2 linked regions of the Drosophila melanogaster genome follow. Changing the gene in region 1 together with any one later gene gives a genetic interaction. Each region holds a gene or a part of one and is shown in the gene's direction. Other genes may lie near its edges.

Region 1 (15,567 bases):
TTATGTTTTAAGATTGCCCCACCAGACTCTCAGATCCTTGCTATCAGCATCTGGCAAAAGGCAGTCGTCAATCAGGTTGGTTTATACGCTTTAAGTCCTGTTCTTACTCCCGCACCCAGCAAACGTCGTTGTCCTCTTATTCGGTAGTCAAGCTTACTAAGCCATCTTTTTGTAATGCTCTGATAATTAGAAAATTGATTCAGAAAGCAGGATGTTTGTAGTATTGGACATGAAGTTATACCTTTAGGTATTAGATATAAATTATCGTAAATATAAATTTGTTCGATTTTGCCCAGAAAAGTATAGGTAAAATATAAGTTTTTTTCAACTGTTTCCCCAACAAATTAGAATACGTTGCTTATAACTTCCTATTTTATGAAACTAATATTTGTAATCCTGCATAGTGCATATGCATAATTATGTGTTGGTTTCCCTATGATGTTTATTTTCATAGTGCTCCAATATCTAAATTTCAGTGAACATTTTCTTAGAAATATACATTTTAGGGTCTTCTGAGCCCATATCACCATGTTTAACTTGAGCATTGTTTTTGCTTCCGCTTTTGTTGCTACTGTGCACTTTTGTTCACCATTTTCGTCCAGTCCCCGCCCCCTCTTACGACCCCGCTTACCATACGCCCCCGACCCCCGCCCATTGCGTTCTGCTCCCCTGGCTGTTCACAGTTTTTGCTTTTCCTCTACTCTGCATAAATTTTCCCTTAAGGATTGTCGCTGCTCACGAGTACACACGGATACAAACGCACACATACCCATAGGCGGTGGCAGGCAGACACACACAGGCGAACAAAAGAGCTTCGGTGGCAGGTGCCAGCAGTAACAACAACAACAGTAGAAGGAGCAGGAGCAACAATTTACAACAACAATGGTGGCAGCAGCAACTAAAAGGGTAGCAAGTACCAGTGGGCAGGTGGACGACCAAAAGGGGTTCGAAAAAGGGGAGGAACTGGGTTTCCCCAACAAGACAAGTTGCAAGCAGCGTTTGTTGTGCTTTATCCTTTTTTTATGCCTTGCCCCCTGACAACAGAAACAGGAAAAGCGGTTGCCGCCATTTTTAATATGGCGCACAGTCAACACACACAAACAAACGCAATGCTCGCAAAATTATAGTAAAGTGGTATAGGAAAGATTGTAAGTTTGAAAAATTTGATTTATTATAAAAATATATATATAAGAAAGTCAGTCTAAGTTTTCGATATACCAGCTATAAAATTGAAAGAATAGCTTTATAGTGTCATTTATATCAATGATATGCTAACATTAACATTAAAATAATACATTTTTTTTAAATATACCACAAAAGGAGCTAAATTCTATTTTAAGTTTACATTTCCTTTCATGGGTACTTTAACTGAGCTGAAAGCCACTGTGCCAGTTCAGATGAACATATCCTTCTATGGCCGAAAGGACCTCGACTTAAAGGCAGCTAAAATATAGCCCTTCTCTTGGCCTTTTCCATTCGCCTGTGGCTGCCTTTTTACTTTTACGACTGAGCGTGTGTGCCTGTGTGTGTGTGTGTGTGTGGGTGTTTTGGTGCACGCTAACCTTCCTCCCATTGCCCCTCCCCCTTCTAGACTCATCAGCCCTTCTTCCAGCCAGCCTCCTTTTTGGATTTGCATATAAACCACTTGCAAATGTATGCGCGCGCACAAACACACCCACACTAAGCTATTTGCATTGCGGCCGCACGAGAGCGAGAGAGACGGCAATGAGGGAGAAAGAGAGGGGACTAGCGAGCTTTAGCGTCATATAAATTTTCGATTGATATGCAAACTTAAAAGGAACCGCAAAAATTATGCTCCACTGAGCAAATGCGACGCTCAAGCGGTTGGTGGACGGACATCCTGTTCCAGGACACCACCAAGGTGCGGGTGTGTGAGTGTGTGTGGGTTAGTGGGTGTGTGTGCTACTTTGGAGTAGTACATGTTCGTGGGTTGATTTTCTCACCTATAAGAAAATAAATGTTTATTTCATTATTAAATTATAGTTTTACCAAATACTTCATAGATGATAAATAGGAATTTAATAAAAAGCGTTCTTAACATCACAAATCTTGAATAAAGATGGTGAGAATGTAAGTCACCATAATTGAAAAGTATTTTATGAAGATATATATTGATAGGTCTATGGTTTTCATACATTTAAATTTGTATTTTAAAAAAGTATCGCGATCCTTGGACATTTCTAATCAAATTCTGCAGCATAAGTTCAGCTACTGCTTACCTATTTGATATCTTTAATGCCCAAGTTATGTGCAAAGCTAAGCTATTAGCCTTATAATATGTACCGTACTGTACTAAACTGCTTAAATTCCCAGATGTGTGCCGCCTGGGCGCGTAATAAAAATCAACAAGCTGCTTGGCAAGGCAACTTACTGCCATTCGATGGGCGGATTTTCTGTTTGAAGGGAGTAGGAGCAGGGAGTTGGTTGTCTAAAATTCAATGCTCGAATGCCAGGAAAATCGGGCAACCAACAAATTCGATGGCCCGAAGCCGACCGCCCAAAACTAAAGCCTCTGCTTAAACATTTAACGAACTGCAGGCCAAAAGCTCGACAGGCCGCGCTTGACTGACAGTTGACTGCGTTGTTCGATGTTGGGTTATTTTGGGTGGTTGGGTGGTTGGGTGGTTGGGTGGTTGGCCCGTTGTCTGGATGTTCCTGGTGGCCGGGCTGTGCATATTCCAGTTCTGACGCACAGAGAAAACCGAATGAAATATATTTTCCAATCAAATTGAAATGCAAACATGTGCAACGATTGTGTGGAATTTCGAAGGGAGTCGGGCGATAGATAGATAGATGGATAGATGGCTGCCTGCCGTCCGGATGCAGCCAAAAATTGGAATTGAAAAAGTCATGATAACAGAAAATTGCACGCTCTGTGACTTTGAATGACAGATGAGTTTTCCTGTGGCTGCTGCTGCTGCTGCTGCTGCAGCACGAGCAACAAAAACAATAACAACAACGGCAACAGCCGCATTGCCACTAACTAAAACAACAAAGCGTTAACAATGAAAATGTCGCGCACGCGTTGGCGAAAAAAAAAATAAAGAAAAACAAAGACCAAAATTCGGAGCGAGGAAAAACAAATGACAGCTGCAAAAATGGCAGGCGGAAAATGGCAAGAGCAACAAAACGACGCCTACAACAACACCCAATGAAATAGTGTGTGGGCCTGGAAACTTAATTCAAAATCAACAATGGGTAACGAAATATGAAAGATAAAAAGGTTGAGCGGGAAATTGGACTATTAAATACCCTTAATTTAAGTCCGATTCGGAAAGAATATAAATGGTGTTAGAATCTTGTTCAAAGGTAATTTATAATTCATTGACTTCTGCGCTTGGAAAGAAATAGCATATGCTAGGCCAGCTAGCTATGATATAATATTTTTGAAGAGTGTTCACGTTTTTTCAATTCCCTTGAAGATGGCACATTTGTTGCTTGTATGAAAGAGCAGTTGAAAATGCGGAAACGGAAGTGGACTCCGCCACAAAGACGTTGACAATAAGGGCAACGTGAGGACCCAGCGTTTCCCATACAAAACCCCAAGTAAACCGAAGCAAACTAAAGATGGTTGGACCCAAGGAACTCTCCTCCACATAGTGACGACCTTTGAGTTGCCTTTTTTTCCAACGTTGGCCTAGCTGGCTGAATGACTGAATGACTAACTGACTGAATGACTGTGGCACTGACTGACTGGCTGGCTGGCTGGCCGGGTTGGCCGCTTCCGCTTTTTACGTTCATTGCCTCTGCCACAATTTTAATTTTCCTAATGGATATCGATCCTGCAGTCGTCGTCGCAGCGGCAGCAACAGCAACGACAACAAAAACAAAACTGGCTGGCAAAAAGGATAATAGACTTCTTTATTGTGCATGCGACTCTATAAAAGTCAACTCCTGGACTTTGTTGTGCGCTCCGCACCGCTCCGCTCCCGTTCCTCACCGCTCCGGTCCCGCTCCTCACCGCTTTTCTCTTCTGTTTTCCTGTTTTCTCTCCTGTTGTGTTCTGTTGCTCATGCGAAAATCGAGGGGGCGGCGGCGAGGGAAAGTTGGGTGTTCGGCGGATACACAAACCAGGCCAGACACAAGCACCATCACACACCTGGGCACTGAAAGAAATTATACCCTCTTGTATGTTAAATATATCTGTGGGAAAGCGAAACAAGTTACGAATGTTATGTGTCCCTAATGGAAATGAATATTCAACTAATAACGAAAATATTTGAACATATTTTAAAATTTTGAAAATAATATAAAGAATCAGTATAAATACATTTATAAATGTCACATTCAGTATGATTTCTATTAAATTTAAAACATTTTCATTATTAATTATTATTGAACAATAAATTAGCAATTAATAGGCATACATTTCTCACAGTGCACTCAAGCACACAGGGCAGGCTGCATAAATACTTAAGCAACAACCTCACACAATAAATAATCTGCTACGTCATGCAAAACTGAAACTCCAGTAGAGCCCTTTGAAATTAGAAGGAATGTGGGGTTCCATGCAGTTGGCAGACATTGGAAATTAGATTTTAGCCCGGCTGAGATGCCACCCCCTATCAGCCCCCACCGCCCCCCCTCGACAACCGTGTAATCCGACCGCAACTACACATGGCAACGTTTATTCGGAATTCCATTTTACATCTGCCCCGGATCCGCCAAAAGTGCGAAAATTAAATGAGCCACAAGTCGGAGCGAAAGGACGAAGGACCTCCACACCTCTGTTTGTGTAGGTGTTTTTCCTAGTTTTCCTGCCCCTGTTTGCATAAATTTTTGCCCACTTCTTTTTGCCAAATGTTTTTCGAGGATTGAAAATTGCCTAAACCGTCGTTTGGATCGCATTTGGGCATATATTTGCATTTGCTTTGCGGTCTGGAAATAAACGAAATGGAATAAGTTGACCGGGCAGATGATGGCGAAAAATATCGGAATAAGCGAAAGTGAAACTTAAGAACGGTTTAAACTTATTTAATTAGGATCCATGAAAGGGCAAAATTCTAGGAACACAACGTAATCATTTGCATAAACGTAGAACTGCAATAAATATTATTTGCGCCCAAGGTTGCGATTTTGTATATATTTATTACAAGAATGCCACTCACCTTCATTTCAATCAATATATTTATTTTCTAGAAGATTGAAATCAATAACCATAACTCTTTGGGAAATGTACTGGAAAACCTTGAAATCTATATCTTTACTTATGTTAATTACAAATGACTATTTGAAATAAATAGTCAAGTTATACCATAAGTTCGATAATATAAATGCTTATACTATCCTACTAGAATAATTTAATATTTTGCATATAAGAGTATAATTACATATAATTACCTCCTGAAGCATTAGTGAAGCATCAAACAGAAACAACTCTATGCAATCTTCCTTATTAGCTGCCGCCAACAATTAAAGCCAAGTTAAGCTCGGTAGCTTAGCAATTAGGTCCAGGACAGTAAGTTGTCCAATGGCTAAGATCAGCCGTGGGCTTAAGCAGAAAAATGCATTAAACAATGGCTAATATAGCATGTCTGCTCAATTTCAATTAAACGAATCGAAACAAAACTATTTCAACCAACAAGTTAAACGTTGTTCCGACCATATCGATGCGCAGTGGCTTGAGTGACATGTCCTAATTCGTAAGCGTTGACTTTTACCGGCATTTCAATTAACCCAATTAATGGACGGGACCTAATTAAATTTTGAATTCATGTTGCCAGCAAACGCACACTCATCCAGCTGCCTAGTTGCCCCGCACACAGATACGCCGGCACACACACCCTCGCAGGCGAACACACAGACATCAGTCAGCTGTTTTCTGCTGGCCAGCTGTCGTTCGAGTGCGAAGGAGATGGCGCGAAAGCCTCGCAATTCGGGGGTGGTTGGGGTACTGTTGGGGGTGGCAGAGGATGGTGTTGGATGGTAGCAAGGGGGTGGCTCGCTGTAACAAGTATGTACTAATGTCGGCGTCTGGCTAACTGAGACACGGCTATGAATGAGTGCCCCAAACGGAGCAAGCGGGCCACTGAAACTGTAGCTCGATGACCTTGATTATACAACACAGCAGCAGCGCCACCACCCCCCAAACCAGCTCAAACTCTACCAGACCCACAAGCAGCCCTGTTCGCAGCAGGGCCACTCCTTCAAAATACCCTACGTCAAATAAAAATGGCAAAAAAGTAGTCAGAGGCTACAGACACTCGAAAAAATAATAAGGAAATCTAACTAAATTGTACAGTAACACAATATGTTTATGATGTTAAACTTAAAATATTATAAAACTAGATTGTATCTCTATCACATATTCTATATAATTTAGAAATGTGCACATTTAAGTAAAATAATTTACCACCACAACTCATCTTAAACTTCTTCCTGGCCTACAGATAAGCATTCTTCAAAATTGCTTAAACAAGCTTTTCTTCGAGTGCACCCCAAGAGTCGGTGATGGTAACTGGTAACTGACATTACAACAAATCATCGGCCAGCAAATGTTGGCAACTGGGTGCCAAGTCAACGAACTGCTAACCGCAACACAGACACCGACCGCCACCCACTCGAACACATATATAAATTGCCGTACGGGGGCGTCATTAAAATTGCAACAGGGCCTTGAAGGAGCAACAGAGCAACAGGGGGGGAGGGGGTGGAGATTGGAGCGCTCCCCAAAAGACCAGAAGACGAAATCAAAAGATCAATAATTATTATGATGTTGCAGCACACCCGAAACGAGACGCCTTCAGACCGCAGAGCCAAGTCAAGACGGGCAGGTGAGACAAGGGGGGCGGAAAGGGGCGAAAAGGGGAGCCCCAAAAGCGGAGGGGCTACAGCCGAAAAGTTCGACAAGCGCATTACAACAGTTCGGGGGTAGAAAGACAGACGACGGATGAAGAGTGGGGTAGGGTTGGCCAGGGGGGTGCGCTTGCTTACAAGTGCAACCATTTTGTAGTACAAACTTCGAAAACCAAAAGCGAAATTGGCAAAACAAAAGGCCAGCGAAGGGAGCGAGGATGTGGGCCCACCTCCTGACTGCCTCCATTTGTGGATTGTGGATCCCGCAGCCACAGCTGGAGTCGGTCATGCGCACTCCGTCCAACCGATTGGCCCGCTTCGCCGCCATTTAGAAAAGGCCCACCAAGTGGAAGCGAAAGAGATGGGCTTGCTGCCAGAAAAGGACGGAGCGTGAGAGCGCTGCCCGCAGAGCGAGTGCGACAAAAACACCTGTTCCTGTTTCGAACTCCCCCCCCCCTGCAGGCCGTCAGTCCATCGAGTCGGCTATCCGCTATCGGCTATCCGAGAAGTACACGCAGAACTGGCTCGGAACCGGTTGCAGCTGCACCAGTGCCACACCAGTTCCCTACCCTTGCGGAGCGACGAGCTAGTCGCACTGCTCTCGCAGGCAGAATGTATCTGCGAGATACATTTCGGGGTGAGTGGCTGGCTGGCTCGCTAGCTCGCTGGCTCCCTGGCGTGCGGATAACGTACGGCAAACGGAACGAAGCGCCGACCGGTTTAGTCGTTCAGCAGTCTCCGTGCAGTGAGCATGTTTGTGCGCCAGACATCGTCGTTGGTCGGTTGTCGTCATCGCTACTATATAGCCGTCGTATCGCGAACATCGACCGTCTTAGCTCGATAGCCGTCGGATTTGCCTTTTCGGATGCGAGAGACTCTTAAATCCCTCACCATAGATCCAAATCCCTGCGAACAAAACGCGTGTGCGCACACGGATCACACAGCCGTGATAATCCCGCTAAATTCGCCGAAAACCCAGTGCTCTGTGTCCCGGTCTCATATTGAGTAATTCAAGCAAACTTCACGGAATAAGTAAACCAGTACAAGTGCCTTACACAAATATCCCTGCTCAATGCCGGAAACTTCTTGAGTACGGCCCAAAACGAAAAGGCGCCCGCTCTCAAGATTCCCAGCCCACAAATATCTCGAGTGTGCTTCGCCGAGTGTCCTGTCAGCCAAATATATGGTAATGGCAGAGATTGGTGGCCATTTGGCTCACCAGCTACCGTTGCACAATCACAACCACAATCAAACTGGATTACAGCCATCGCTGGTGATGAACCATCACCTGGATTTGGATTGCCATGGACACGATGTGATAAGTGAGTACCGATATTCAAGGGCTGCTGGCTTTCCGATTTCGGGCTATTTGGGCTGCATCCTTGAAAAGGACGATATTTAATACTGGAGATAGCACGATCACTTACCTAGGGACAGTCTTAAAAAAAGAACAATGGAATGCCCTTCCACAGTTTGGATATGAGGCTATTGTATCTTCTAGATACATTTGTTGGTTCTAAGTACTTTCGGTCTGTTTAAGAAGGCATTACAGTTTTTTTCCTTAGTTCCCTTAGATTTAAAATTTGGATTTAAATAAATGTCCTGACAAATAACTTAGAGGCTAATAGGGGTTTAGTCTAAAAAAGCGCTTTGTTGATCCACTGTAAACCAAGATTAAATTGCATTTTAAATCAACCTATTCAGAAATTGTATACCTGCAATTGAAACATCATTACATAGATCACGCATCAGTGTCGAATCATTTGCCGCTAATAAAGCTATTTAAAGCAGTTAATGACTTATTTATGGCTATTGTCCTAGTCCCCAAACAAAAATTGGCAAATTAAATAGTCATTAAACAAGAGCCACTGATGGGTAACTTTCTCGATTCGTAAATATGGAAAATGAACGAGGAAAGCCCGCTTTGGACATTAAAAGCCAATAAAATAAGTAAAAAGCCGTGTTAACAAATGCTCGCACCCAAATCACAGTTGTAAACTTGTCTTGCTTATTTTTGAAACATTTTAATGCCCACCATTTTAAATTCCAGATATCAGAGATCAAGGCTCGGACTCAAAGGTTCCGAGCTTTAAAACCATGAACTGTTAGTCAAGTTTATTTGTAACGAAGGTCGAAGTTATTTTTATACCAAAATCATTAAAAAGTTCAGGCACGCGTTGAACTCTTTCATACCTTGAGTTTTTAATTTTGCCAATGGATGTGATGTGAGCAAGGCTGCGCTAAAGTAATTACAAACAAATTAAAGTGATACCAAGAAAATACGAATCCATAAATAATTTTTATTGTGCCATTCTTTTGTCAAATTGGAGGATCTTTTTTTTTGTATATTGAACGACTTTCTGAGGTTCTATCTTTAGGTTCGGGATTTCTTTCGGGCCACAGTCGTTAGCCGACTTGTCGCTGCAGCTTTTGTAATGGGCTTAGACCCTATCTCGACCTGTCACTTGTTGTTTCAGTACGGCAATAACTGTTAAATTATAGCCGTATTTTATTTTAAGCACACTTTACATATTATATAGAAGCCAATTAACGGTTGAATGACATTTTAATGCTGAGCAATTAAGCGCGCAAGCAAAGCGGGCAAGCAATTGCATGAAAAAAGCTGAAAAGAGCTGGAAATGTATCACAAATGTATCTCATGCGATAATGTGACAAATTTTTAACTAGCCTAAAGTTTGTTAACCAAAATGCATTTTATGAATTCATAAACCAAGAGTGTCATTAAAAAATGCCATCCGTGTGTGACAGAAAGAGGAATATATTTTATTCAAATTTTATTTCGTATGCTAAATTGTGACAAATGTTTTGGCTGACAGTTGTCTAACCAAACGAACGACCGCAGAACACAAAAAAGCCAAACAAAAATTCCGAAAAAAAAAGGAAAACATGAAAAATCATAATCATAAGCACATATACTACATACAATGGGTTCGGGGAAATTGAATTATATATGAGGCTGGAATAATGCAGCACATGCAGTTGTAGCTGCGAATCATTTAAATTGCATTGAATTTTAGTAATTGTAATTTAAATTCAAATTAGTTGTCGGCCATGGAGCGCTGGTAAATATTTAATGTCCGAACATTTTAATTTGAAAACTTTTCACAAAGTTTCCTCCCCATCGCTCTGCTTAGTTGCTCTGTGAGTTAGTTGGCGGCTGACAAAACTTTAAGTTAGAGTTTTCCAGCTTCAAGTTGATATTTGAAATGAAAACAATTTTTGTAGTTTTCGTTTCGTCCCCCCCCCCTCTAGTATCAGCCAGCTCCACTCTCTTTTGTTAGTTCGCTTGGTTCCGAGGCGAGTTTTGTTTGTTTGTTGATTTTTGAGCGCTGTAAACATTTTAATGAGTTTTCCATGTCACAGACCCAGGCCTCCAGTCAACATGTCGTTGGCAACTTCTCAAGTAGTCGTTAAATTAATTAAATATAGTAAAAACAAAAAGAAATCGCCATCTGAAGTATCTGAAGAGCCTTTGTTTACTCTCCGTGCTCTATAGAAAATTATGTAAGTCCGAGATCGCTGCATACATCAGGGCGTTGAACTAGTTTCGGTTTTTCATGTTGGCGGCTGCCATAAAATTGTACCACTTTATGTTGAAGACCATCAAAAATTGACAATTATTTGCGGCCATAAAAGCCAAGCGATTTTTATTTTTATAGTTAACCAATTAGCCAAAAATTTGAATAAAATGCGAAGCGGGGGTGGCACGGATTTTCCCCTTACTCGTCGTACACATGTTCCCTAATCTAATTCATATTAATTCCATTTAAATTTCTCGCCAGCAAATTCACCGAATGCTAATTGGCATTTTCGATGAATAAACACAAAACCTTTCGAAAGTTAATTGTGAAAAATGGATTGGGCAAATGTTTAGCCAATGCACAAAAAGTTGAAATAATTTTTCGAATAATTTGTAAAGTGTCAATCGTCGGCCATATAAGGTTAAGTCGTCTGCGAACGAAAGAGAATGGAACCGAGTTTTCAGATGAGGCTGGTTATTTAGCCATAGATCACCGATCTCAGATCTCTTGGTTATTTATAGAGCTGCTGAAACGTCAGTGAAAGGAAAAGATGTTTCGTATACGCAACGCGATTCGATTTAGAGTGCCATAAAATTAACTATATTACCATTCTAAACATGCTTCGATCGATTTCGTTTGGAGTTTTTTGTTGTTTTTGATAGTTTCGTATTGGAAGATTCACTGGGTTAAGGTTGGAAATTGATTGAATATTTGCTTGAATAGTCATAGCGCTAGGTTTGTTATTCTTTCATATCATTTTTTGGCCTAACTTTAAGTGCATAACAACACAAAAACAATACGACAGTGGTGACGTCAGGAGGGAGCCACACCCATTAGTTCGAAAAAGGCAGACAGACGTTATCTATATTTTACGAGTTCCTATCCAAATTCCTGTTGTCCCTGGCTGACATTTTTTGCTTGCCTTCCCGTTTCCGGTGTGATTTTTATTTCGGAATCCCTGCTGCTGCTGCTTGGGGTGTGATAAAGTTATTTAGGCGCAATCCATAAATTCCCGACCTGAACCCAAAGGCCCAAAAAGGCAGCGCAGACAGAAACGTAAATCCCAAAGCTTATCTGATTTTGCACTTCGGTACCCGGCACTAGATCAATATGTTATGTTGGCCGGAGTTTTGGCTTGGCCCATACCTGAGATTCGGACCCAAGACAGCAGTGCGCCTGCGCCCAGTGTCACCAGTCCAGTTCCCCCTCGCCCTCGATATTCCCTGACATCATTTGAAATCTGTGCCCGATGTGCCAAAAAAAAAATCAGGTCTAGAAGACAGTTGGCAGCCATCAAAACAACTCTCAGCCTCCTGCGTCCAGGTATTCTCTCAATTCACCTCAGAGTCTTGGCTGCTTTGCATTAATTAACAGCTCGCTGGGTCGAGAAATTAGGGAATTATGCCTGGAATTTCCGTTCGCCACATAAAAACAGTTGTCTGATTAACTGATTAGCTTAGAAAGAGGCTTAGATGATCATGAAGATGGGCAGAAATAGTGGGTGCTTGAAAATTGCATCACTGCAGGAATGGCAATTACAATTCAAAGTACACATTATATATTAAGTAAAACTGTAGAATATTACTTTACATTCAACACCATTTATTTAGTTTGCCCTCAAAAAGCAAAGCCTTAAACTTTAAGTTTTACGAGCACTTTAAGTCAAGTGGATGCTGCTAACTTTAAGTATCGATGTGATTGCACAGCCTCGACCTGATTAAAGTACTGACTCGAAAAAAGGCTAAATATTCCATATTCCATGTTATTTTCGAGCTAAAATGTTTTTAAAGCCCAGTGATTCCGTCGAAGCTCTCTAACCTAATTAATGCAATTCAAGATATTCTTAAAGCCCTCGCCTGCTGGAATTGGGCATATTAAAGCAGCCGCCTGACTATTAAAGTGCAATTAAATTTTTTTTTTAATTCTCCGTGCCTTTTTCCCTCTCGCATTTTTGAAAAGTTCATTCAAGGTGTCAGCAGCTTGTCAAGGTGAGAGGCGGCTACTGTTTGCTCGGCTGTAGAAAAATATTAAATTTCAGCTGGGGAAATCGCCGCGAGAAGCCATGAGGGAGAAACCAGAGAAGCGGAGAACTGATAAATGTGCAGGCCAGAAATTAGTCGGGAGTTAACCAGGCCACAAAATAAGGGAACAACTGACGGCCACGCCCGTTTATCGCGTGAGGACTTGGAAAACAGGAGGAGCCCCAGAGCTCCAGGGCGCGGGAAATCGAGGGAAAGGCGAAAGGGAAAATGGGGGAAACTCGTGCCTCTCTCCAGGCGCTCATTAAGAGTGGCGAGCGTTTTGCATTTCCCGCTGGGATTTTCGATGGAGCACCCGCAGCGCCATATGACACCTGGCCAAATACATACATACATACGTAATACCAGTACACATGCAAGCCCACATATATGTATGCCCCGTTCAGGTGCAACCGGGATATACCCAAGCTCCCGTGTGGCATTTTGGCGTGTTGCATGCCATGCGGTGGCCACTTTAATGGCGTCGTTTTTAAAGCTTTATTCTGGCCCATACCCACTCTAGTCGCTGGCTTTATGAGTGTCACTTTTATAACCCTTGTTTTAATGACTAATTAAGCATGAAAGACAATAAAAGAGCCTAGGTAGGACCCCTAAAAAAACAGATACAACCACGGGCTGCCTAGAAAAACAAACTTTTATGCGAGATCCATAAAGTGAGGATGAGGACTTCAAATACTTGCCGCTGGCGTCAGCTGGAATCCAAGAGGGAGAATCCAATCACACAGGCCAGACGCCACTTGAGCAGATTGCACAATCCGACCAAAAAATCGAGATCGAATTGAAGTGCAACAGTGGCCATATCCCATTACACTCAGGGGTGCACCAGATCCATCTTGTTGGCCCGCTTAGAACCACTCCACTCAATGTCAAGTGGAGTGTTCAACAGGTTGGACCGCCCGCCGAGGACCAGACTGATGAACTGAACCCAAAACCCCGGTCTCGAAAGGCGAGACCAATTTCGATTGTCGCGCCACGGGGCGACTCATTCAGCGACTCGTTCGGTTCGGTTATTATATATATATACCATATATACATATGGATATTAGGGATCGCGACTTTGGGCAGACACGTCGCCAGTCGGTAGCCGCAATTGCCGTTAGTTACCTGACAATATTTTGACGGGATAGCATATCCCGACGGATGGTAATGGTCGCAACCACTAAGCCAGCTCAAACATCTCTACCTGCAACCCGGGCTTGCGGCTCATTATGTCAAATTGAAATGTTGCCACACGGCCAGACGGAAAGAGAGGCATTCACCTGCGGGCAGAGGAGGGGATGTGGCTGGGAAACAGGCCAAACAAGTTGCTGCCTCTGGTTTATGTCCAAAACACCGTTGATTTCTCGGTCTGCCACGAATCATAGGAAGTCATAATGCTCCCCAAATTGGATCACACCAAAAGTTGTTTCGCGAGTGGGAAGCATTCTAGCTGCCTAAAACCACTAAAGTTGAATAAGATACATTTTCTTTAGACGAATTCGCTTTCCAGGGATTACTAAGATCCAATGACAGTTAAGTGATTCGTCTTCGAATCAGCATAGCTAACCTTCAAGCCATTGTACATGGACCTATGAAATTCATATCTTAATTCCTCCCACTACAAAGAGAAACAACTGGCAGCCATGCGTTTGCCGTTGTAAACAAAATGTAGCTCATTATGTCAAATTGAATTGTTGCCTACAAGGCGAGCTGAAAACCGACCAAACAAGTTGAGGAGTTTGCAGATCTTCCAGCGACTGCCCGCCTTTTTTCGAATTTGTATTTTTCTTTAATTTATGAGGAAGTTGGCGGCGAGCGTTTTGTCGCCGCCTAAAAGTGGGTAGACCACGTAATACATCTTCCCCGGCCGACCACACAGATCAGCAAGTGAATCATGCGGTTTACCCGATGGAGGTGAAGATGGAGATGGAGATCGAGATCTGAGATCCGAGAAGCGAGAATCCGAACCCGATTCGCAACTAGGCGGGATAGTCGGGGAATGTGAGAGGGAAGAGCGACGGGTTGGAGGGCCATAAAGCAGCCTACTTAAATTGCCATAAAACAGAGCAATTTATTGGAACGCAGCCAGATCGGCAGGAATCGGAATCGGATTCAGATTCACATCCAGAATCGTACTCGTATCCGAATCGGACTCGGAATCCCCCCAAGCCGCCACATCCACAGCCTGCCATCGCGTTGATTGCAGTCCGAGTTGATCGCAGAGCTCTTCGGCTCTTTGGGTCTGTCGTTCTCTGATCTGTGGTATCGAAACATGCCGCTGCGGTGCAAGGATCCTTTGAAATTCAAATTTTATGAAGCTCATTAAATATAAATTTGTCGTTCGAGACTCTCCTCCAACTGGAACACAGAGACAGAAACTGAGAAACTGTGAACTCAGTCGAGAGATGCAGGCTGTGTGTGTGTGTGTGTGTCTGCGTATACGACACCCAAATAAAATAATATAAATTAATTAACAAAACGAAGCCGAAATGAAGTTAAAAATTTGCATGAACACGGGCCCAAAGCCTTTGGCGGTCGGCGGTCTTCGATATTTACCTCTTATTTTCATCTCATTTTTTTCTTCTTATTGGTGTGGAGTTGCGTGTGCGTAATCGGCCGGGGTTTTAAATACTCTATGGCAACAGGACCCCAGCCATTTGGTGGCGATAATCAGGGAGGGGGGGGGGTGTCTTGCCGGCAACGCGTTAAATGGGCAACTCGGTCTTCGAGTGCCATAAAGCAGGCGGTGTCTTTTAATGAGGTCTTAAGTTTTTATAACGGAGTTGGAGTTGCTGCATCCACCTAGGCGCGCATGCTGCCAAGGTGGCTTTGATTCCGATCCTGACTTGGCCACACCTCAAATGCGGGAGATTGGAGCAGGAATTTTCAAAAAGGGCATGGCATGGTAGTAGGGTGCCAAAAGGATTAGGTATTTTCCTGAAATATCTTCAACGCATTTATATACTTTTAAGCCAATATAATCATAGTGCGTCTGCCGTTTTAATTTGTATAAGGCAATGCCTCACTAGACTTTCCACAAGCTGAAAATAGTGCAAAACTGCGGCTTTATTTATGTTGAATGCCATAAAAAAAATAGTTGGATCTGAATCAGGTACAAATGCCAGAACAACACCTCCAACAAGTACAAGAACAACTACAGCCAGCGACAATGTTCAAGTGCAAAAGGGGCA
Region 2 (15,863 bases), about 18 Mb from region 1:
AGGAATGAACCCCATGGGCGGTATGGGCGTGAACATGCCACCGAATTTGCAGCAAAAACCAAATATGCCCATGGGCCAGGCGGGTCAGATGTTTCCCGGTAATCGAGGAGGTGTGGGAGTGGGTGGACAGCAGCCGGGACAGCCCTTCATGCGATCCAGTCCCTCTCCAGCAGATGCTCAGCAATTACAGCAACAGGCGCAGCTTCAGCAAATGCAACAACAGCAGCAACAGCTGGTGGTGGGCAATCAGACGCCAACACAGCAACCTCCGACTCCGCAGATGCCCACGCCCAATATGATTCCTAGTCCGGCACTGGTTCCCCAGTCCAGTCCGCAGATGATGCAGATGCAGAATTCGCAGCGCAATATTCGGCAGCAGTCTCCAAGTGCCTCGATCAACACTCCTGGCCAGGTTACTGGTAACAGTCCATTTAATCCCCAGGAGGAGGCATTATACCGCGAGAAATACAAGCAGCTGACCAAGTACATTGAGCCACTGAAGCGGATGCTTGCCAAGATCAGTAACGACGGAACCAGTAAGTAGATAATACCCTCACGTTTCGTTTTTTTCGCAGCTATTGCATTTTTAAATCGTTTGCTGATTACTGAAATGCTGTAAATGCTATAAACCGCGTCAAATAATATAATTTAAGAATTATATAATCGTTTTTGCGAGGCCAAATGCAAGGACTAACTAACCAAAAACAAAAGTTTAATGCAAACTTACTCGGGTTTATATATTTCCTAGTAGTTATATTCTCGAAGTATATGTTATCGTAAAACTAATATTATATCTTCTTTAATAGATGTGGAGAAGATGACAAAGATGAGCAAGTTGTTGGAGATTCTCTGCAATCCTACACAGCGCGTGCCGCTGGAGACTCTACTTAAGTGTGAAAAAGCGCTTGAGAAGATGGATCTCATCTCCTATTCCGGCCAGCAGTTTGGTGTAAGTATATCTACATCCAACGGGCCAATTTATTATATTCTTCGTTATACCTAGAAATCCTCAAATCCATTGCTGGAGGTTATAAATACAACGCTGCAAAGTCCTGTAGCAAATCACACATTGTATCGCACATTCCGACCCACTTTGGAGCTGCTCTTTGGTACGGATATAACAGCTCCAGTGCCCGCAAAGCGACCTCGGGTGGAAGAAAAGTCCACGTCTTTTGAGCAGGAAGTGCCACATGTGCTTCAAGGGGAAATTGCTAGGCTCGATACCAAGTTTAAAGTGAAATTGGACACCACGTCACAGATCAACAACAAGGCCATTCGCTTGATTTGTTGCCTGGATGACAAAAGGTTGCCTAGTGTTCCGCCCGTAAGTGTGAGTGTGCCGGAGGAATATCCGTGGCAGGCTCCGGACTGCTCCTTGGCGGAACAGGAGTATTCAGCCACCCCCTTCCTGCAGACGGTGCAACAAGCTCTCATTGCCCGCATCTCGAAGTTGCCCAAGAACTACTCGCTCTCACATTTGTTGGACACCTGGGAGATGGCCGTGCGACAGGCGTGTTCCCCGCAATCGAAACCCAGAGCAGTCTGTGAACTTTCCACTTTGCTGGGAGTTTAGCCCAACTATTTGGTTAAATTCAACTATAACATTAAATCTTAAGCTAAAAGTGCGTACGCTGCAAAAAAATTACTATTTATTTTAAAATCTTTCTAATTTCTGTTTTGTTCTAGATATATTTTTATATTTGTTGGAAGTTTTACCTAACTATCCGGCCTAATCAACTATAAACATTTTTTCTATTTACGCTGGGCAAAAAGTGTGGAAAGTTTAGTAAGTTTATATCTTGTTTAATTTTAAATCAATGGATATTGAAAATTTTAATTTCATTTTAGATTCCCAAAATGCCCCTCTGTTTTGGGTAAATACATTTTAACATATAAGACAAATGGCTTTTATAGCTAAAATAAAATAAAACCAATTATTTCAAAGAATATTGAGCTGCACCGCATTGAAACATCCTTCTATATACACAACACACTCATCCACTCATCAAGCAAAAAACATTCCACACTCAAGACTTAGTTCAATACCAAAATGGGGCTACATACTTTGCAAATTGTTTCAGTCGGATGAGATTTTTAAAAAGGTAAGCATAAACAATTTGGAATAGGGCTTGTCATTCTAAAAAAAAATTAAGTCACCGCAATAGACTTCTGCCCAATTACGCTTCCCTCCCAATTCATAGAATAACTTTAGTTTTCTTTGGAAAATATGTATATTTTCATTTGTTGAGATTGGAATCGTGCGATGATCCATTATTCTATTTGTTTTCATTTTCTTTTTTTCACATTTAGCAATAAATACAATTGTGTGTGTTTTAGCTTAAGAGAATTACACTGACAACTATGGTACAATAGAAAAGAGTTAAGAAAACTTAAATATCACAGATGTTGGACGCCGAATGCGTCTCTTTATAGTATGTACAAACACTAGGGATATTCAGAATATTAATCTGAAGAAGATCGCTTAGATAAGAAGTGTGCTGTGTGCTCCTGGAAAGAAGTGGCATCTATCCGATTTGGGTATTACGTATTGAATTTGAAGTTGATATATGCACAAAACGGTGACAAGATCTAGCTCCTAACTAAGCTTAAGTCTACACCAGCTACATGAGAGCGAGAAGGCATTTCGAATTTGACTCAGATGTTAATTTGTTTTGAAATTTGGTGGGAATTCATCTCTGTTTAGCTGGCGATACTGTGGGGCTGAGATTGGTTCTGATGCTGCTCGCATTGCTCTTCTCATCGCTGCACTTGAAGCAGGGTTCCGCCGAAGGTGAAACTGCTGGCCTGCTGCTGTAGCCTCAGCAGATCTTGGGCGCTGTAGACTTGCAAGCTGGCGGAACTGATGGGCGAGGAACTAGCGCTGGAGCCCGCCGGTGCTATCGCTCGCAAATGGAGCGAGGCATCGCAGAGGGAAGCCGCTACCGAAGCTGATGTGTTGTTGTTGGCCAGGGAGACATGTCGATTCACTCCGTTCGCCTTGTCCTTGTTGTGCCGTTTGACGTGCTTCGACAGGTGATCGCTTCTCATGAATTTCTTCTGGCAGACGCTGCACTGGAATTTCTTTTCACCGGTGTGGGTCCGTTTGTGTCGGGACAACTCATCGGAACGGGAGAATCGTTTGTCACAGTTCTCCCACTTGCAGATAAAGGGTCGCTCGCCGGTGTGAACCCTCTGGTGGGCCTTCAGATGACTGCTTTTGAAGTAATTCTTGCCGCAATCGGGAAAACTGCACTCGTAGATGCGACTTCTGGTGGCCGCCGCCTGGGCGGCCGTAATTCTGGTTGTTAGTTTCTCCTCGGACATTGTTGGCGTTTTGGGTACGGGTGTGGGGCTCTGTTGGGCGGCCACTGTGCTGAGCAGGATAAGTTGGCTGGCAGACGAAGCTACTGGGCTAACATATATCGGTGTCAGAATAGGTTTTATTTCCTCCTCCTTGATGCATTCCGCTGGAGCAGGTGGCGTTACAAGCTTCGCAACTGGTGTCTCGGGTGTTTGTACTGGGGGTAGTGCCACTTCTGCAGCACGCTTTCTGTTCATTTTGAACTTGAGATTGCGCCACACATTGGCCTCTGGATAGTCGTCCTCCACAGTGGGTGGTACTGAACTTGTACTTGTGTTTGTGTTGGAAGAGGAACTACAGCAGGAGGTGGAACTAGATGAGTTCTCGTCTTGGCTACTAGAAGAGACAGCGCCAGAACTGTTGACCCGCATGATGACGCTAACCCTTTCCGCTTTCTGATCATCGTCCAGCTTTTGATCCGGCGGCGGTGTCATGCTCATAGCAGGTTGTTCCAAACGGGGTTTCTTGTTGGGAACCGCTATTTCGGGAGCCTCGTCTTCCGTGTCCGATGGATTTGGTGTAATAATCCCTCCATTTTTCTGACTCTTTTGGGCCACCAGCTTGAGCTTTGCCTTTAGCAGATTCTCGTTCACCTGTTGTTCGTCCTTGGCGACCTGGAAAAGGAAAGAACAAGTTCAGGGTTAGTCAGAGTTCGTTAACATTGTCGAGTTTATGTTCTGAGGAGTGCATTCACATTCACAGTCCCATTCACTTTTCGCTGACCAGCATTGACCCACAATAACTTTTCCTCGCAATTCGCTAATTACGCCGGCGGCTGACAAGGCCGTTCACCGTTAACCTTCACACACCCTGCAATACCCCGCCCAACCCCAGGTTCAATGCTCCTTCGAAAGGCCAAGGGAACTTTGTTTTTGGCGGTTTTTGAACTCTTTTAAAGGCCGTTTGGGGTGACAGAATATTACTCATTAACTGTTGCTGCCAGCTGTGCTTTAAATTATAGACGTATGTAAATGTTAAAGGTGAATACTGTATTGATGACCACATAAAAGTCTTTAAATTGATGTGCTCCTGACAGAAACAAAAAATGTCTTAAAATTTTAAAAACTGTTCTTAATATGGACTTTTCAAATTTCACTACTTAATTTTTAAGGATGAAAACATGAGCAACTGTTGCGTTTTCGGCGCATATTCTAGAACCATTTAAAAATTGCGCCTAAAAGCATGCAAGGAAAATGCAGCCACACCACCAGTATTATTATGACGTGCCTCAGGTGGGTGATTTCATGGGGAAGGCGAATGCGAGGGGTGTATTATGACTCGTGCGAAGACGTCGAAATCTTTTTATGGGCTCGGCACGTTGCGCTCTAATGTGCGACAGTGTTTGTTTGTTTCTTTCTTGGCCAGATAAAAAACGAGCCAGAAATGTGACATGGTTTTATGGGTTGGGGCTTGGCCTGTTTGCCTAGCTTTTGGCTAGGCCCTCTCTTTCCTCTCACACTCCACCGCTCGCCTACAGTTGCCAATTGGCAACTCACCTTCTCTCTTTTGCTTTTCTGTTGTTTTTTCCTAGTGGTGCCAAGTCCAATGTTCAGCTGCGGCCTCTCGCTCGCACTCACACATCACTCGCTGTGCATGCGGTGTTCACGTGAAAGCGTGTTGGCTGCGTGATCGCATGGCTGTGTGCGAGTGCGAGCGGGACGAGGCACTTTGTTTTTAGAAACGCGGCAAGTGGGAGCGAGAGCGAGCTAAGTACGATTCCGTTTGATTTTCCGCTGCCTTGAATGCACTATCCCCACTCAATAAGCACTAATTACACTAGCGTACACTGTATATATCCACTTTGTAGGTCACTTACGATTTCCAACTTGTTTTCCCTTAGTGGGGGCGTTGCGGGTGGTGAAGGTAGCAAGGTATCCATGTCCATTGCACTTTCAAATTTCAGTTGCACTCTCTTTTTTTTATTGAAGAGTCTGTGTTTGTTTGTTTGTTTTGTTCCGGGGCTAATCACTTGGTTTAATCTCAGTTTGTGTAGATTTTTGCACTTCAGCTAACTTTGCACTGGCGCTTTCAAGTGCCGCTTGCCGTTTTGGAGCGAAGGCGAACCGTTGCGTTCGGAATTCAAGAGACGAATGAAAAAGGCAAAGCCATTCAGCTCCCAGCAGAGCTGCCGCCGCCGACGCCGCTGCCGGCAGAGGCTGTGCAAGTGTGAGTGAGTGGAGCCGCCGACGACGTAATCACTTGGAAACGGGCAAGTGTGTGTGAGCGGGCCATCGTCATCGGCAGTGGAGCAACCAGTGCAATGTAACCCGGACGAACATCAGCCAGCAACGTGGGCAGCACCTCCTCGGCTCCTCTCTCTCGGGCGCAAAAAAGAAAAAGGTCAGGTCTCCTGCTCACTCACCTCTCAGCAACCCACGTGCACCGGACAAAATAGCCCGTAAAGAATGACATCTCTGTTAACTCAATTTTAGACTGTAATGTTGGTTGGCAATAAGTTAAAAGAGATTCAGGTGAACCCAAATCGTTTTTAGTAAACTCTCTAAAAGTGTATGGCTATTTTAAATGTTGCCATCTTTTCCGAGAAGACCCAAAAAATCACCGAAGCGATTTCTTTCTGTGCAGGACACAGACACACAGCCAGTAGGAGAGAGGCCCGCAGAGCACGTAATCAACGCATGGACGTCATCAGCTGTTCACTGCGGGGTCTTGTGTTTGGTGCTATAGAGAACGGGTCAGTAGAGGAGGAGCTGGGGAGGGTGTGGGGCTCCATCGGCTGTCTATTCATGGGCTGTGCATGCCCCAGCCGCGTGCACAGCGCACACCAACCGACACACTCACAGACACACCCCAAAGCCGTGTCTGAGTAGCTGACGTAGTTGTTGCCACGGAAGTCTGTGAATAATCGGCTGAAAAAATACTTTAAAACTGGCTCGAAACCTGGCAGACGCCCCTCAAGCTGAAATCTAAGACCTGGCCGCATATATTTGCATTAACTTTGGAAGTCTGACTTTAAGCAGACACGGATTTCATTAATAAACGAAAGGCATAGTGCGAAAGCAGGAGAGTATGGGAGCTCAACAGTTGACGGGGAGCATTGCCAGGCCCAAGAAACTGGGAGATAACAAAGATGAGTCACGAAAAGCAGGCATTTCAAAATCCTCTTATTCACCACCAGTGAATGCATGTAACTCAATTAAGTCGTCAATTGATTACATTTATTTTGTTTGAAAACCCTCCTAGGACACGGGTAAATTCTACCTGGCAATGCTCGCGTTTCGCCTGTAACAGTTTTCAAAGCAAAAAGGGGCTCGTACACAGAGCACACACACCAAAGAGCGAGCGGCAGAAACAGCTGTGGTTATTGGCGCTCTCTTGCGCAACAACAACGAATAACTAGCACGCCATACCCCACACCAGACTTGTGGGGCGACTGTTCAGGCCGTGTAGGGTATTCAGGGGTAGCATGGGAGCAGCTAGATTAGATGCAGATCTCTGAAAAGTTTAAGTTTTATTTTTCTTCACATTCCCTAAAAAGAAATTTTATATTTGTCGTTACTAAATTAATGTCATTCCATCCGTCTCCTACTGCTTTATCGCCGCTTTTAGAGGGTATGCCCAAGTGGACCCCTCGAAAATAACCTTCTTGACGGCTGAACAGCTCGCCTGCGTGTTTTATGGTGTGCGTGAGTGTCTGTGTGGGTCCGTCTGGTATCACGCGTTGACCTCATGATGTTCACGTGAACATTTGTTGATACTTTGCCTGAGCGGACGAGTGAGTGAGTGCGAGTGAGACGAGGCGAAAATGCCAGCAGTCTGTGGCGTGCCTATCTGTGCGCTTGTGTGCGTGTGGGGGTTTGCAGTACTTGCGTTTTTGTTTTTGTCTTTGCTTCGTGTTTGTGATTGGAATCGGAATTCGTGTGTAAATTTTGCGCGGAACTTGAAGCGATGGCCTCCACTCTCTCGCGAATGTGGGCGTGTAAATGGGCCGATATACCGTTACCGCACCCCTCTCCATTGCGCCCCACCCCCCGCATTTTGAATGCAAACTGCGGCGCAGTTGAAGCTCCCCACCGGCCAGCTCCTCCAGTCCTCGCAAATCCATCAAGCGGGAATTCATGTGCATTGCGGAGGCTGAACACAATCAGCAGCCGCAGGTTAGATCTAAAAATAGACGTATATCTCGGCTCCCCGGCGGGTTCAAGTTCAGTTCCCTTGACTTGCATTCGCCCACGGAGCTCCCACGCCCACCCACTCAATCTGGGATGGCGAAATCTGGACTCGCAGAACTCACGTGTGCCCACGCACATTTTCGGAAACGCACGTAGGCCGCTGACTACTGGAAAAAACTGAGTGTCAGTGCTATAGAATTGCACAATAGAATTGCTGTATTACATATATTTTTTTAGTTTGTTAATTCATTGCTTATTCCTCACTAACAATACTGAAAACTAAAAATAACTCTTTGATTTAGATTTCAAAACTTGTTCCTACAACACAAAAGCAAGCAAAATACCTTTTTTTCGGTGTGTCAAAGGCCGACTTAGAAATACAATATATATATGTATATGTATGTTATATGTACATATAACTCATCGTTTTTCGCAGAGCGAGTTTGCGCATTGACGTAACTCTCTTCTGGCATCTGGCATTACGTAGCAGACTCGTTGGCTCGGTGACGTCACACCCACGCTGGCTCCTTGCTCCTGTTGCGCGTCAAAGGTCACAGCATAATAAGCGTGACGTTGGCGTGAGCTTCTGCCGGGTTCAAGGCCTCCTACGCTCCTTTTTTCTTATTAACGAGGAGAGGAATCGCATGCAGAATAAAGCCTAAGGCGCAAGCAGACAACTTTCCGTCGGTGGAGTTGGTCGAAATGTCAATCACAGGTGGACCCTGACGTCAGAGGGCCTCGAAAAAGAACGCTGCTTATTGATATTATTCATATATCCATTTAATCATGTACTCAACGAGTGGCACACAGTCTGACCAAAAGTCATAAGGAACTGGTCTATAATTCGGCACGGCAACAACGTCAAACGCGTCAAATGCGACGCCCATTTTCCTAGTTTCCCTCGATTCCCATTCACAAACATTTCCCACACAGTTTCTGTTTGTTGGCCTCTGCTTGCACGCGGGCGTGGACGACGCTACAACGTCGTCCGAAAAAAGCGCCAAGATCGTCAAAACTCTCCATGACGTCATGAGCCCAACTCGTGACTCCAAGTGCAGACTTCGTTAGTTTCTTGGTTTCATATTGCTTACCAGCCTTTGTCAGAAGTCAAAAGAATCAGAAATTTCCATTTAGCACGCATGTAAACATGTTTACAAACAAGAAGATTTTCCCCAATTGAACAGATTATGGGGGTTCTTCGAATTGGTGCAACTAGTTCGATGGAAAGATACTAATCAATGGAATCGGAATTTCCCCTTGTATTGTAATTGTCAAGTCTACAATATTTAAAGAAAGTATCTTGTAAATTTGTTTATGAACTATCTCATATTTCACCATGACGCGCAACCTTCTTATTGGTCTATATGGCGGTCACATATGCCAAATATCAAAATATTTATCTTTGTTATAAAGACTCACATGACTAACTCGAATCTAATGAGTGATTCCCGATCTCTTTTTCCACTATTGCTCAGCAAAAGAAACCAAATTATTTAATTAGAAGTGCAATATGTTTTTGAAGGTTTAATTTAATCTGTGATAAGGATGTCTGACTTTGAAATATATGTATAAAAACTGCCCTTATAGAAGATTTTCTATAACTAGCCCCCATTCTTCCGGCCCTTGCCACCCACTTATCACGAATCTTAATCCCCCCTACAAAATGATGCACTTGCTCTCCCTAAGTCGATTTTTCTCCCTGCCTACGTGCCCACCGACGCGTTGCTCCAAAGTTGGAAGCTAAGTCGGAACAGAATGGAACGGAACGCGGAGAACCGGCGTCTACGAATCTTCGGAGCAAGGCTAAGTGGGGTCTACTATGAGCACAATGCTAAGAGAGCAAGGGAAGGGGCATAGACGACCTTCAGTCGGGATTGCGGTCTTACCAATGGAAATTTACGATGCTGCGAAGGTTCGCCCTGGTCAATGTTTAATGCGTTTTCTCTGGCTGCCCCTTTTCTCCCTCGCACCTCTCGCATTTATTCTCATACGATTTCCCGTTCTGGCTGCCGGTAAAAATCGACCTTGGCCCAGTTCCTATAGCTGCCAAATGTTTGTATGAACTTGAAAGTTGTTGTCCCTGGAATGCAAAACGAAATTGGATGTGAATGGCAGAACATAGCATCGTAGGGATATAGACGTCCCTGAACCGGTTCAGGTGAACGCCTTAATGGCAACGAGGCTCATCTCATCATCAGTCAGTCGTGCGCTTGAAATAAACAACATCGTCAATAAGTAGGAAAAATAGTATAGTATATGGGACAAACAAAAGCAAGTATGAGTATTCCGTTTTTCGACTCAGGGATACCCGGTTTATAGAACCTCCGTGTTGCAAGAATTCTTTATTCAACTTTACCTTACATGGATAATAGGATTACTCAATTATTCGGCAGATATATACGTCACGTTCGTTTTGCTACGCTAAATGTTAGCATATTTCAAATCTTTACCTTTGACCTTAAAAAACTTTACAAGATTGTCGCTAAGTAATCGTAGCTACTTTTTAAGTATTTTGCTAGTTGCCTTTAAGTATCTGTGTTTCTAAGCGATACAGATCGAGATGTCCTCTCATAGACACACTTCACACCCATCTCATCTCACTCACGATAAACAGGTGTCTATATCGACAAACACTCGTACGAGCGCAATATCCCCTTGCTCCCCACGAGTACCGCGTATGAATATATGGCACAAACATAAATAAATCTAGAATAAGTGCGCTTGAGGGCGCGGGCGGGGAGGCCGCTGATAGACCCGTTTTTTGTATGCCGCCGCCGACGTAGATTCCAATTCCAATTCCGATGTTGACGAGGTCGCTGGGGCGTCTGATTGGGGCCACGTGAAGTCAACGTGAACAGCCCGCGAAGAATAATAATAATTGCGTTATTCATAAAACGCCGGAATGGACGGAATGGGCGGACATCTCCCCCGGACAGCAGTCGTCCATTTTTGGATCAACCCTACATCGGAGGTTGGGTTCGGGCTCGGTTCGAACTGATAAGGCCGCGCGACTGATAAGCAAGATTCCCAGCTGGCCAGCGCATGGGCAGTCTTTATGTCCGCCTCCATTTCCCTCCGTCCACTTGTCCGTTAGTCTGTCCGTCGGTTAGACTCGTCCGTTAGTCAGTCACAACATGACCAAGAGGCGTGTCTCTTATCAGCGCAGGGGGGTTCTTATCAATTTCCGAGGAGTAGAGCGGTTGGTACTCGCTTCCCATGCGGCGTCAATGGGGGTTTATCAATATGGCAGGGGCTGGACTGAACTCTCGGGGATGGGAACGCGATGGGGGATCGTAAATGCAGGTGATTCGGTTCGTCATCTGCATGGCTGATCTTGAACTAGATTTCTGAATGAAACAAATTAATTTTAGCGACCTGGATTGGGGTTATCTGGGTGGGATTTCATTAAGCTTAATTATTACTTCCGGTAAAGGGAAGACGGCTTAAGGCTAATTCTCTGGCATTAAAAAATGTGTTATATTTTATGCAGCCAACTTATTATACGATGGATAAGTAGCTGTACTTTTCATAGGTACAGTTGCAAAAAGAGCATCATCTGCCAGCGTTATCGAATCAAAAGCTGAAACAAAAGCACAATCAATCTCAAATCCACCGAATTACGCAACCAGGTGTGTTCATCTCATTACATTTCATGTATACATCTCACACCACTTCCGATTTTGTTTATCAAACTCATTTGCCATTCGTCGGCAACGTGACCATTGAAATCGGAATCGGAATCGGGCATGGATCGAGTGTGAATCGGTTGCGAATCGGTTGGCGTGTTTATCTAAACCCGTGCCGTGACGTAGCAGACCTTGTTTATGGGGCGTTGGTTGCTCCACGCTTGTTTTCCTTTTGCGTTTCGCGCACTGGAAAGTGGGCGGGAAGGAGCATGGGGAGTTGATAGGCGACGAACCCGCGATTAATGGATTGCCCTTGACGGGTCGGGTCCGTAAACCCTTTCGCAATGACTGTAGAAGGAGGCTCGCTGCTCGCGGCAGACAAACAATGGAAATTGCCCAAGTGCTCTCAGTGCCTCAATGCGACTGTCTCTTTCGTCGTCGAAGCTTTCTTCCTCTTTCATTTCTGCAATTTATTACTGCGGTGTACTGGTTGGTTCTGTTGATTTTGCTGCCTTATTGACATTGTTGTGTTTGTTGGCTTAAGTGGGCGCGTTTGTGGCTGTGAATGGTGGCTGGCCGGCGAAGGGGGAGCGACTTCTCAGTCTGCCCGCTTATCTCTGGCGATTGCAGACAGACACAGACACGCATTGATTGTATGGCATGGCCCTTATGTATGTTACTCTTCCACTGGGAGAAGAGGAAGTCAAAATGATAGCTTAATGGTGAAAATCAGTTGGGCATAGAAATTACAAGGTATTTATAGTGTTTACCCCAAGAGTTGTTTAGTGCGTGGAGTTATTTTTCTCAAAATAATACATCCACTGTGTTGTTGTGAACTGGAATTTTCCCGAATTTACAGATTGCCTGATCCCATACTCAAGAATTTTCCCCCCCAACGATGAATAGTCATGAAGGAGAGGCGTGCACAGCGCTTTGGGTATTTAGCACATTTTCTATTGCCCTGCCCTGCTTCTGCTGTTATTTTTTTCGATTTTTTTTTTGGCTAATCGAAGCACGAGCGCAAAAAGTGTATTTTGTTGCTGCTCTGTGCTTGCCCACATTTCATGTATTTTTAGCAAGCCGACGCATTTCAAATAATCAAAAGCAAGGCGCTCGAAATCGAAGCTGTGGCTGTGGAGAAAGAAGAAGTGGCACCGCAGCACCTGAGGACCAAAGAAATAATTAACATATTTTTGCAAATTAGCAATCGTGTGGCCGGGGCCATAAATCGAAGCTGCGAGGGATCGTGTGATCGCATCGAAATCGAAACACTCGCTGTACCATTACTCGATTTTAATATTCTGCCGGGGCTTTTGCACTTTGCAAGGACAACGACGGAAGTGAACATCAAAACATGAGCGAGTCGCAGCTACAAATTGCATTTAAGGTCAGCGAGCAAATTCACGATGCGTTGAACCAAGCCCAGTCAGAAAAAATAAAATAAAATCGAGCATTGCTCATGATGAGAGCTGTGCTGGAGTGCAAAGTAGGCAGGCCGGTCACCCTCGCCACAATAAGGCCAACATCGAGTTAACAAATTAATAATTTGGTCATATTGAAGGGAATAAGTTTTAGAGATCCTCATAAAGCGGGAGCGGCATTGAAAATCAGATGCTCAGCTGATAGTTGATCATGGATGATCAACTACTTAAACTCAGGTTGGGCGGGTTTGACCTTTGGAATGACTTTACCCGTGTCACTAGTTTTCTCTCCCTCTCTCTCTCCCGCTCTCTCTCTCTCTCTCTCTCTCTCTCTCCCTCTTTATGGTTCAACTAGCATAGTATAGTGGTAGTTCCGATCGTCAATCGGTGCTAAAAGTATGTACATGCGTGAGGCGAATGATCGATGTGCAGAAGGTGAAGGTGACTCCAAAGGTGACCCTGAATAAGTGAAGGAGGCGCAAGGTTCGCCAAAATCCGACTTACGAGTCCCACTTGTGGGTGAAGTACCGAAATACCACTGTAATCGGCAGAGTAATCGGCGGCATGAGCAATTTGAGCCCGAGCACATCACACATAGGTATGTATTTCATCATCTTCCTCCTCTGTCTGGTCAAGCAACTTCGGTTCGAATTGCTATAAATAGAAATGGCCAATTCGTGTCCGACTTGAGATAAGCGCCCCTGTGAGGACGAAGTCATCATCCGGGAAAGTGGATCAGGGAAAACACTCGTCCATGTGGAACGGTCATCTGGTCCAAGCTTGCGAATGCCCAATACTGAGGTCAATATGTGCTCTGATCGTGTGCATATGTTGCTGGGAATTATTTGTTGCAATTTAATTTATTGCATTTTGTTGTATTAATATAATGCCTGACTTGATTAGTTTAGTGCTTATTAATACCCACCTATATTTAAACGCATCCATGGTCATTTGAAATGGCGGATTATATTCGACATTACGTATACGCAGTATGGGACGAACCTACCGCAATGGCAGCCCCCAATTAGCAGCGACTATTTGGCGGGAGGGAGAGCCACCGAGAGTGCGAGAGAGAGAGTGGGATTTCTATTGCAATCGGTGCTACTATAAATACCCATCGTACCCCCAAATATCCAAGGAAAGGGGGCGGGTCAGCGCATTGGACTTTGATCGAATGCAGTGCATTTTGTGATTTTGTGGGCGTCGTCGACGGCTGTCTGTATAACGGCAAATGACCAAAACAAAGAAGCTTTTTAACAAAAATAAGTGAATAATTTTATCTCCGCTTGGGAAACATTTTGTTTGGTTTTTTAGCTCGCTTATGCGACGGACTTGCCAAATTTCATCAGCTGTTTTAATTTATGCAAGGAGCCCAGCAGCGCTGATCTTGGGCCTGGCAGTGGATGGGATCAGCATCAGAAAAAGTGAGAAGAGAAGTAAGTGGGCCGAAAAGAGAGATTCGATCGACGAAAGAGAGTGGAAGAGAACAGCAAGGCTAATGGAGAACGCCCTGCACATGAAAAAAAAGTATTCATTCTTTGAAGCAAGCTAAAATAACAAGAAAAAAGTTCTAAGAACAAATTTATTTGCAAAACGTGAGGTTTATCCCATCGTAATGTTCTTGACGAAGTCAAACTAAAGCGGTTGACCTTGGAGAATTTAAATAATTTCAAAATACATTTACCATTATGGGTTTAACAGCAGCAAGTGATTAGATTGCAAACAGTTACTCTATTGGCGATTGAACCTCAGTGAACCAAAGTCCAACCATTTCGAAGATTTGAAAATATTAAATCGCCAACTTTACTTTTCACTATTTGCTGGCTCAGTGTATTGACCCCCATTTCCCATGTCGTCCATAAATTAGTGCGCTCAGGGTAAGGTCGCCTCGTCCAGGGTTGGAACGTGTCGTTTCCGATCGGATGCCGGCGAATCATCGGATCATTGCACTCGGCGTGAACACGCAAGGTAACTGCACCTTGGGTCAATGATATTAGCTCCCCCGTCAAAAATTTCGGCAGATATTCGGTTAACTTTTTGTTTTGTTTTATTATTTCGCGGCTGTCATTTTCATTTCCATTTTAGTCACGGGCATGGCCTTGCCGCCAGAAGTTGCTTGACCTGGAAGTTGCTCACCTTACCTCGTATAGGCCCCTGCTCCCAATCTCGGAACATCCTCATCAGGCCTCCAGGCGAGTGTATTGCACTATGATTGCAGGGAAGGCTGACTCGGTTACGGATAACGAAGCGGTATTTTTGAGGGTTTTGTACTGGCACTGAAATACATTCGGTGAAACACTACGACAAATTGGGCATATACGCAGCTGATTGATTTGGCATCGATGTTACGGACAAAGAAGCAGCTCGCTCATTATAGTATAGGCATGACTTCAAGCTAAAACTGCTGGGATTCCCCCGAATATTAGTTATGGTTGCTTGTCATTTTTTCCGACGCCCCTCTAACAAGATCTTCGTTTTCAATTGAAATGAAGGCTATTATTTTGAATAGCGCCGAATTTAGAAAGTATTTCGCAACATATTCATTTGGTATGAAGACGCATACGGACACATTCGATATTTCTGGCACATTTTTAAGAATTCGAATGTGCTTACATATGAAAATTGAGCTCTGGAATCCACTGTCATATCCTTGAGCTTAGTATATCAACGGAGTACTATCAACCTCGATCATTATTGATGTTGCAAACGCATACTTGCACTTACTTTTGTTGCTTCCATTTATTTATAGGTTTTTTGGGTGACTGCCGAATTGCATTGAGAACAGACCAAAAGCGATCAGGGATAGCCTAAAAAGCCAACGACAAAGTGTAATGAACGTTCCGAAGGTCAACGGTGCGTATACTTCATTAGCGATTAGCGAAGGGCGGCGATGAAAAAATGGGTAAGAAACGGAGCGAAAGGAGACCGCAAATGACCCAAGGTAGAGGGCGGGGAAGGTGGAAACCTCGTGGAGTTCCCGTGGCTAATCGACTCGGCCATATGTTAGCGCGGATTACGGGTCGCTAACTGGTTTATGATATTTATTGCCATGCATCCCCATTTGCATGCCCTGCCCTTAGACCAACGCCCCCACCCCTTTCAACTGCGGAATTGTCCCGCAGGAAGCTTTTCATTTCCGCTGCTGTCCGAATTTTTAAAATCTATGAGTGTCCAATGCAAAGCAGGAGGAATTTCCATTAAAATCATGCAATAGGTGCAAATTACAAGACAAAAAGGTGAGCGAACAGAGGGAAACAAAATGAAGAAATTATGCAAAAAAGAAACGGAAGTGCAGCTAAATAAAATGCTGACCATGGTTCTTCAC

Evidence for each region.
Region 2: of tup (region 1) and ush, changing one enhances a phenotype caused by changing the other (phenotypic enhancement), as found in Drosophila melanogaster (one study listed by BioGRID).

What each region holds. Positions count from the first base shown.
Region 1 is NT_033779.5:18,873,228-18,888,794, reverse strand, and holds the start of tup (tailup), read left to right. Parts: upstream 1-7,533; 5' UTR 7,534-7,999; coding exon 8,000-8,138; intron 8,139-15,567.
Region 2 is NT_033779.5:474,230-490,092, forward strand, and holds the start of ush (u-shaped), read left to right. Parts: upstream 1-1,990; 5' UTR 1,991-2,102; intron 2,103-2,216; exon of another isoform or gene 2,217-2,757; coding exon of another isoform or gene 2,758-3,975; exon of another isoform or gene 3,976-5,177; coding exon of another isoform or gene 5,178-5,246; exon of another isoform or gene 5,247-5,459; intron 5,460-15,287; 5' UTR 15,288-15,863. Other genes in the region: MED15 (mediator complex subunit 15), read left to right, coding at 1-536, 807-949, 1,004-1,573; cbt (cabut), read right to left, coding at 2,758-3,975, 5,178-5,246. UniProt on the Drosophila melanogaster protein: Transcription regulator that modulates expression mediated by transcription factors of the GATA family such as pnr and srp. Represses transcription of proneural achaete-scute complex (AS-C), which is usually activated by pnr.